2 linked regions of the Arabidopsis thaliana genome follow. The protein of the gene in region 1 interacts with the protein of each later gene in a biochemical or structural test. Each region holds a gene or a part of one and is shown on either strand. Other genes may lie near its edges.

What was found.
Region 2: the proteins of AT5G06410 (region 1) and ISU1 form a complex in vitro, tested with the Arabidopsis thaliana proteins (one study listed by BioGRID).

Annotation. Positions count from the first base shown.
Region 1 is NC_003076.8:1,958,859-1,963,215, forward strand, and holds AT5G06410 (DNAJ heat shock N-terminal domain-containing protein), read right to left. Parts: upstream 2,301-4,357; 5' UTR 2,275-2,300; coding exon 1,976-2,274; exon of another isoform or gene 1,823-1,975; intron 1,792-1,822; coding exon 1,695-1,791; intron 1,599-1,694; coding exon 1,509-1,598; intron 1,426-1,508; coding exon 1,360-1,425; intron 1,290-1,359; exon of another isoform or gene 1,270-1,289; intron 1,216-1,269; coding exon 1,147-1,215; intron 1,143-1,146; exon of another isoform or gene 999-1,142; coding exon 861-998; 3' UTR 509-860; downstream 1-508. Other genes in the region: AT5G06400 (Pentatricopeptide repeat (PPR) superfamily protein), read left to right, coding at 1-193; AT5G06420 (Zinc finger (CCCH-type/C3HC4-type RING finger) family protein), read left to right, coding at 2,663-2,861, 2,983-3,797, 3,890-4,012. UniProt on the Arabidopsis thaliana protein: Co-chaperone required for the assembly of iron-sulfur [Fe-S] clusters in both mitochondria and cytosol. Required for the activity of iron-sulfur proteins such as aconitase and succinate dehydrogenase.
Region 2 is NC_003075.7:11,758,294-11,762,798, forward strand, and holds ISU1 (SufE/NifU family protein), read right to left. Parts: upstream 2,765-4,505; 5' UTR 2,589-2,764; coding exon 2,291-2,588; intron 1,903-2,290; coding exon 1,848-1,902; intron 1,302-1,847; coding exon 1,151-1,301; 3' UTR 810-1,150; downstream 1-809. Other genes in the region: AT4G22217 (defensin-like protein), read left to right, coding at 332-407, 486-673; AT4G22230 (defensin-like protein), read left to right, coding at 3,999-4,074, 4,162-4,364. UniProt on the Arabidopsis thaliana protein: Scaffold protein for the de novo synthesis of iron-sulfur (Fe-S) clusters within mitochondria, which is required for maturation of both mitochondrial and cytoplasmic [2Fe-2S] and [4Fe-4S] proteins.

The sequences.
Region 1 (4,357 bases):
CTGCTTGTGCCAAGCATGCAAATCAGAAGATGCCCTGAAGCTTCTGTCTGAGATGCTGGATAAGGGTATTGCTCCAAGCACTATCAATTTCCGAACAGTTTTCTACGGGTTAAACAGAGAAGGCAAGCATGATCTTGCCCGGATTGCTCTACAGAAGAAATCGGCTTTAGTAGCACAGCGAACGGTATCTTAGATACCGTATCTTAGATACCGTATCTGCATGACTATCACTGACATATCACTGTAATTCTGTATCCATGGGAAGAAACTCATGCAAATTGATTCAAAGCAAATCTTTTTCTAAGCAACGAAATCTGTAAATGCTCTATTACAAAGTCCTCTTTCTGTCTGTTAACAATTCAAAAAGTAAGAGCTATATTTTAAGAAACGAGGAGAACAAGTAACAATTGATTCTAATCAGTGGTTTTAGCAAGTCTTTACACTTACAGTAGAAGCTCAACTAAAAAGTAGTAAGTTGAGAATCTCAAAATTATAATAACTCTTTACACGAGTAGAAAGATTTAGTGGGAATTCAGTCATTCACCTACACTAGGAGCTATGCCTGACTTCTCTTTGGGGATTTTTGAGAATACATGGGAATATTCTAGGAATCGAGCCCATAAACAGCCCATAAACAGCCCATAAGTGAAACCCATAAATCGAGCCCATGAACAGATACGAAATCTGTAAATCCTCTTATTACAAATACAGAGTCCTCTGTTCTATATAACTAAACTAAAACATGTAGCTAAGATACTTTCAGTTATGAGCCATGATCTGTTCCTTTCAAATGTGACCCGTAAAGCTATAAGGCAAACATAAAAAAAAACGTGTTCGTTTTTAAGGGAGGACTAATTGCCTCATAGCTTCTTCAAAATTTCTTCGCAGGCTCGCTCGTAATAAGTCATTCTCTGTATACATTTTACAGCATCATCAAACTTCTGGCTTTCAAACGCTTCGACGAAAGAGTCAGACCATTGCTTTAGTTTCTCTTGTACCTTGAGAAAAACAACAAAATCGCATTGGTTAGATCAGTTTGGCATATTCAACCGATGCCCAGAGCTACAGATTTTAAGGTGTTTGGAAAGCTAACGGAAAGAAAGACCATTTGAAGGAAGCTAGCTCAATCAGGAATTTTCAAGGTACCTGGGATCGGATCTGGTTTAACGATGTTGAATCATCTGCTTCTGATATGGCCTCTCTGAGTTCCATAATCTGACACCATTTTCAATGAATATAACTAAGTGAAAATGTGTTTATTTATGGCAGACATGTATCTGCACCTTTACGGTAGAAGAAAAAGTCTCACAAACTAATATATGGCATCAAGACTAATCTTTGGCAAGTACATTCACTTACCTCCATTAACAATGTTGGGTCTGTTATTGTTTCTTCTTCATTGACATTTACACCATTCAGCTTCATCTACATAATCAAATAGTTTCAGGAAAACTTGCAGCTTTGGAGAATCCTCAAAAACGTAATGACGAAAGTTAAGAAGAGCTTACGATATACATTGCTCTCGACAGCCGCTTTGTTAATGTCCGGCACGCTTCAGTCACCTTTGCAGACTGCTCGGCTGCGTAGTCTCGTTCTTTCTGTTAACAATTCAAAACACAAGAGCTAATTTTTAAGAACAGAGGAGTAATAAACATTGCGTCCCATAGTAAAAGAGAATCCAGAAACAAAGAGACCTTAGATTTGTTATGAACTAAATCAGGATGTAGCTTCTTTTGCCAATCTTTGTACTTGCCTTCAAGGCTTCCAGGATCTATCTCATACTTCTTCTCCCTATATAGACACAACAAGTTATTGAAAATTCAAAACCCAATTCAAAGGTCTCATCTTTTGCATCAATTCAACTAAAAGTTTCAATCTTTCTATCATTTCTCCTCAGCCCAACAAAACAGGAATCCACATTATTATCATGGTTCTCCTCAAACCCTAGATTCTAATCAACTCGTTACACACTTACAGGCCAAAAATCTGAAAATAGTCGACGGAGTCATCAACAGGTTGAATGCTACGGCATGAGTTACAGAACAAAAAGGCAGCTTTCTCGCCACAGTTCCAGCATCCGGCGCCAGATTCCGAGCAGAAAACTCTCCCGGAGAATCGGAGTCGTCCCTCAGCTGAAGAATGATGTTGCAGAGATTCGCGAGGCAATTGGGTTTGTGATTGAATCGTCGCGAGTGAATTACACTGGTTAGTTGAAGGATAGGTCCGTCTAATAAGGGTGGAGATGGAAGCCACCATCGTCTTCGTTTTCTTCATTACGGGATCAGGAGAGGTTTTGGCTCTGGAGAGATCGTCGTGTATCGATTACTACTACTACTTGTCCCTAATCGAACCAGACCGAGTAAATTGGTTTAGTGTTACAAGACCAAAACCAGATATTTATCTTATCGTACCAGACCGAGTAAATTCGCCGCTTATCGCCTCCGACCCGGACGGTGAATCGGAATACCTTCTGGGTTACCGGGTCAACCGGGTCACTGGGTAAGGTTTCGTTTTCTTCTCCTCCAATTCTCATTTCATCTTCAGATTTCTTCATCGATTAGGGTTTAGGAACCTTGTCATCGGAAATCATTTCTTGTCTTTGTTTGTTATTCGAAGCTTCTCCTGCTTATTTGATACATATTCTCTCTTCCAGTTACTCTACATGGAACCATTCGTTGTTAAGGAGAACATCGTCGCATCCGCTTCTTCGCCGATGAAGAAGCGACGGATCGATCACACTGAGTCAGCTGATGGTTCTGCGATTAACGCTTCTAACTCTAGTAGCATCGGTGGTAACGATACGGTGATGAACATGGCGGAGTTTGGTAACGACAACTCCAACAATCAGGAGTCTCAACAAGGTTACATATACTACTTCCTTGTATCTCAATTCTAGTTGTTGCCTCATTGAGATTTTTTCTTCTTCTTCGTTGTTAGCTAGAAATTTTCATTTACACTAATCAAATCATTGTTCTGTTTCAGTTTGCACTTTCTTCAAGAAGCCAACGAAAAGTAAAAACATAAGGAAAAGAACCATTGACGCTGATGAAGAAGACGGAGATTCGAAAAGCGAAAGCTCTATTTTACAAAATCTAAAGAAAGTTGCAAAACCCGATAGCAACTTGTACTTTTCTTCTGGACCATCTACTAGAACGAGTGGAGCTCCTGAGAGACCCGTTTTTCACTACGATTCATCCAAGGAAATCCAGGTTCAGAACGACAGTGGAGCAACAGCGACCCTTGAAACTGAAACCGACTTCAATCAAGACGCTCGAGCTATCCGTGAAAGAGTTCTTAAAAAAGCAGACCATGCATTGAAGGGGAATAAGAAAAAGGCTTCAGATGAGAAGCTGTACAAAGGAATTCATGGATATACAGATCACAAAGCTGGGTTTAGAAGAGAACAAACAATCTCGAGCGAGAAAGCTGGAGGCTCACACGGGCCTTTAAGAGCTTCTGCTCACATCAGAGTATCGGCTAGATTCGATTACCAGCCAGACATTTGCAAGGATTACAAGGAAACCGGATACTGTGGATATGGAGATTCGTGTAAGTTCTTGCATGACCGTGGGGATTACAAGCCGGGATGGCAGATAGAGAAAGAGTGGGAAGAGGCAGAGAAAGTTAGGAAGAGAAATAAAGCTATGGGAGTTGAGGATGACGATGATGAGGCTGACAAGGATAGCGACGAAGACGAAAATGCATTGCCCTTTGCTTGCTTCATTTGCAGGGAGCCTTTTCTTGATCCAGTTGTCACCAAATGCAAGCATTACTTCTGTGAGCATTGTGCTTTAAAGGTATGATCATAACTTAAATCACAATTACGAGTCTGTTTTTTTTTTTGGTTGTGAAGAAATACTAATGAGTTTTGTTTAATGTAATGATGCAGCATCACACGAAGAACAAGAAATGCTTTGTGTGTAACCAACCAACAATGGGGATTTTCAATGCAGCACATGAGATCAAGAAGAGAATGGCTGAAGAACGGAGTAAAGCTGAACAAGGATTGTGAAGTCCTTCTTTCACAGGACAAAAAGGCAAAAACTATACATTTGATTATTTGCTTGAGGAAAGCTTTTTGTTTTGTTGTACTCACTGGCCTATATACTGTATATTCGGATGACGATGGTTGTTTCAAACTGATTAACTTTTAAATTTAAACAAACTGAAAAAGTTTTGGAGTCAACTTCCTAGTAAGTCATCGTCAGAATTTAAGTCGTCAAACTCAATATTCTTAAACATTCTGGTAAGTAGAGCTTGCAACATAGTTTGGGTCTTCTCAGTATGAATCCAAAAATCTTTCAAATGACTTGTTTAATAATAACACTAAAACATTCTACACAATCTCCAAACAGAG
Region 2 (4,505 bases), on another chromosome or scaffold:
TGAAAACCTAACTATACAGTTAGGTTCTCAATACACGTGAGAAATTCTATGTGTGACATGCCGGTACGTCTTGTTACATAATCTTATTATATGTACTGTAGTTATGGACATATAGCGAGCATATTTCACGTTAAAACTTAAAAAGTATTGTAGACGAGATGGATAATGTTTGATTTGTGTCTAGAAAATATAATTATAGGCGAGGTGGATCACATCGTGGAGACTCTTAATTAGATATTAATAATGTAGAAGTAGTGAAGAGAAAATGTGTTTGGTTGAGACGTATAAATTGAAAGCCTTTTGCTGATAAAATCACAAAGAGAGATCAGCAATGAGGAGCTTGAGGTTGAGAACAGTTGTTGTTGCTACAATAGTCGTTTGTCTATCGGTCCTCCTATCTCCCACCGGTACGTAAAATCAAGATCTCTAACTACATAGATACACAAGTTTTTGTTATAAATGTATGTGGCTGTTCGTGTCGACAGAAGTGGATGGAAGCTGTGACTTCCCATTAGGTGCTTGTACTCCTTTCCGTGATTGCAAGGAGAGTTGCATCAAGTTCAAAACGAGGGCTGGACAGACTTTTTTTGATGGCAAGTGCCGTCCAAGGGATAGGCCGAGCGTGTGGACGGCTTGTTTCTGCTGCTATTATGATAGTATCGGTGCTCAATAAGAAAACATGTGATTCCGAAACCATATAATCGACATCGCTTTGTTCTACTCTGCTTTGCTTTTGTTTGTTGTACTCTGCTTAATCCAATAACAGAGATAACGTTTCGAATAAAGGTTGGATGTTTTGTGACAATTCAGGAACAGAGAGATGATAAGTCAAGCTACACCCACATAGTTCCATGCAGAGAAAATTATAATGTCAAAATTGAAAATTGAAAATTTGTCTGTCAAAGTTGTAATTTATAAACCTCCCAAAGAAGAGAGAAAACATTACATCACATCGGTGCATAAAACAGCAAAAACTACAGGGCCGAAGCAAAATCATTCTTACACGTTTCTGTGAACAGAGTTTATTCTAAAATACTCCTTAAGTCTTGAACATTACAACATACCATAGGTTGTATGTATCATCCTCTTCTACTTCTCCCCTGTTTTCACCATCATATACACATTATGGTATACACACTAGTAAAAGGAATCAAGCCTGTGTGGTTTCTCCTGCTGCTGCAGCACCATTTGTCTTCACACGCTTCTCCTTGTAGTCTTTCACAGCTGCCTTGATAGCGTCCTCCGCCAACATACTGCAGTGGAGCTTGACTGGTGGGAGAGAAAGATGCTTTGCGATTTCGCTGGCAAAATAAATCACAGAAAGAGAAGCACACATTCAGAGTAAGTCTTCAGATATTGAGAAACTCCATGACAGAAATCACAATGTTTACTTTGTCTAAGAAAAAGAAGTCAAGAGGTCTGCATCATTATAGGCTGGAAAACCTTAAATACCATACAAACCAAACCAGTAACCAATCTCAGACCAATTGACCAAAATCCAGTAACTAAGTTCATCTAAACAAAATAATCACATTACTTCGTCTCAGGTATGTCAACATTCAATGAGTGCAGCAATTAGATAACACGAGTGTTCATATTTATGTTAAAAATCTGCAAAACATGAATAGGAACACAGGGCATACTAACCAGCAACCAATATTGTACCAACAGACAAAGTCCAGTGACCAAGTTCCTCAAAACAAAATAACAGTCATGAAACACAGTAACTGGTATATCAACATTTAATGAGTTTAACCAATTAGACAACACTGATTGGCATAACACAACAACTCACAACAGATTATGTTAATATCTGCATAAAATGAATAGAAACAGACGGTACTTACGTGTTTTTGATGGTCAGAACATCCTCCATAGCTTTGCCTTTCACCCATTCAGTGGCTGAAAAAAACGTAAAAATGAATCATACATTAGATAACAGCAACAAATCCCCAGAGAGAAGATAGCTCCCACATAGAAGCTAAGCCAGAAACTGACGACATCGCATCAAAAAGATGAAATCTTTCTCAATAACATTAGGAGACTAGGAGTATTACAAATTCAGCATTGAATCACCAATAAAAACGTCTCAACTGACCAAATCATGCACTAATTTGTCATTAACGACACCAATCCCAAATTTGAACACCGAATCTCTACACGAACCCATCAATTTAAAACCTAATTTCTCCATTTGAGAAAGACTAATCAAAATCCCTAATTGAAATCATTTAATTTCTCTAATTCAATCCTCAATCGAACAAAACACGAAATTAGAATATAAACATACCAACAGATGAAGAAGCGATGGCTGAACCACAACCAAAAGTCTTAAAGCGAGCATCAACGATTTGACCAGTCTTCTCATCGACCTTGATTTGAAGCTTCATCACATCACCACAAGCGGGAGCTCCTACGAGTCCCGTACCAACGTTGGGATCATTCTTATCGAAAGACCCAACGTTGCGGGGATTATCGTAGTGGTCGATGACGTTCTCATGGTAGGTTCGGAGGATACCAACAGACCACGGTGTTGATTGACGTGACGTAAGCCCTAGGGCCTTCTTCGCAGCTTGCTTGAGCATCATCGTGTTTTTTTTAGGGTTTCGGAAGTAACTTTTGCTCCGCTGATTTTGGTAATGAGAAATGAGATCGGACTTTTCCTTTAAGGGTTGTGAGAAGAAGTCGGTTTGGTTTCAGACAGAGAGATAAGCGAGGGGACACGTGGACGGTTTAGATGGTTCTGAGATATTTGCTATTTCTTTTTTCTTTTCTTTTTTTCCTTTGATTTTTTCTTTTAGTATTAGCTAACTTGAGACGCTAACCTAAACTTTAGATTGAGATTTTGATAAGTTGACTTTTTCTTTTCAATTATATTTTTGATATCCTTCAAATGTTATAGTTTATAAGACCTATCGCTCATAAATCGTACTTTTCAAGTTTACAATTGAATCGGAACATACTTCTTTTACGCAAACAATAGTCATGATGATTTAGTATGTGTATAGAAAGTTCTCAAATTTCAAGTGATGAAACAGTCTATTTAAAATTAACCTTAATTCATTAACGTATAGTTAATCATAACAATTAAACCTATAAGTTATAGGCTATAACAACATTATAGGCGAATGTCTTCGTCTAGATAAGTTGTGAGGAGCCATCTACGACTGTGCATTGTCCTATGGTAAACATATATTTGGTTAATGGTTGATCTTGATCATTTGAAAAGTCGTTTTGCAACATTAACAAATATATTTGTCTGTTATTTTTAGACGGCACCACCGGAACGGATTGGAAGCAAGATCAAGTAATAGATCTGAGATTTGGAAAGCTTCTCGTGAAGCGAGTTAGATAGCAAATTAAGTTGAGGATTGAGAAATATGGATTTTAAAATATATTAATATGTATTTTTTAAAGTAGTACATATAGATTCGTAAATATAAAGTTATTTTAAGACACGAGTTCATTATGCATCTATACCGTGAAACATGTGGTACCGAGAAACAAACAAAAATTTAAGTTTCATTATGCATGCAATTGGTTTCAGATATAATATTTTTTTTTGGACAAAGGTTTCAGATATACTAATAAAAAGCAAAAACAAACAAACAAATATGATTGAAGGAAAAATGAATCAATGATGATGATGAGCGCTTGGTCTCCGTTGATTTAGCATCTACCACTTTCTTTGGCATTGTTGATTAGTATCTAAAAGTTGACTAATTTAATGAAGAAATCAAACGAAAGATTCTAAATATCTATCTTTATCTACACAATACAATAGTATTGATCATCTACAATAAGAGTCGGGGGTGTATTCAGTTAACTATTTAAAATGATTTGTCTTAAAATCATATATCTTACGTCATTTTAATCCCAACGACTTGTCCAGTGCTAGCTATAAATTAAAAACTCGCCTTTTGCCTAAATGAATCAATCACAAAGAGAGAGAGGGAAACAAAATAGAAAGAAAGAAGCTAAGAACTAATAAGCAATTAATGGGGAGCTTAAGGTTGAGCACAGTCGCTATTGCAGTAGTCGTTTGTCTCTCCATTCTCCTCATATCTCCTACAGGTACGTAAAAAAAACCAAAGTCTTTGATCCCAAGATCTAAAATAAAACATGTTTATAAAATGTAGTATCTTCCTATTGATTGGACAGAAGTAGATGGGAGGCAAGTGTGTGACTACGATAAAGGTGAATGTAATAGTTATGAGAAGAGCTCTACTTGTATTGAACCATGCAAGCAATTGGACAGCAAGTTTATTGGAGGCCGATGCATACCTGTTGGTGGTATTACTGGTATGGGGTTATGTGTTTGCTGCCGTGATGTACAGCGTGGTGCTGAAAAGGAAAGCATGTGATTTGCAAATGATACAAAACGACGTCACTTTGTGTCTGTGTTTTGCGATTTGCATGTTAATGATTTCAGCTCAAAATCTATATTTGAGTGTTTGCCTTCTACAGATCTGTTTGTTTTGAATTGTCAAGTCTTAAATAAAGTT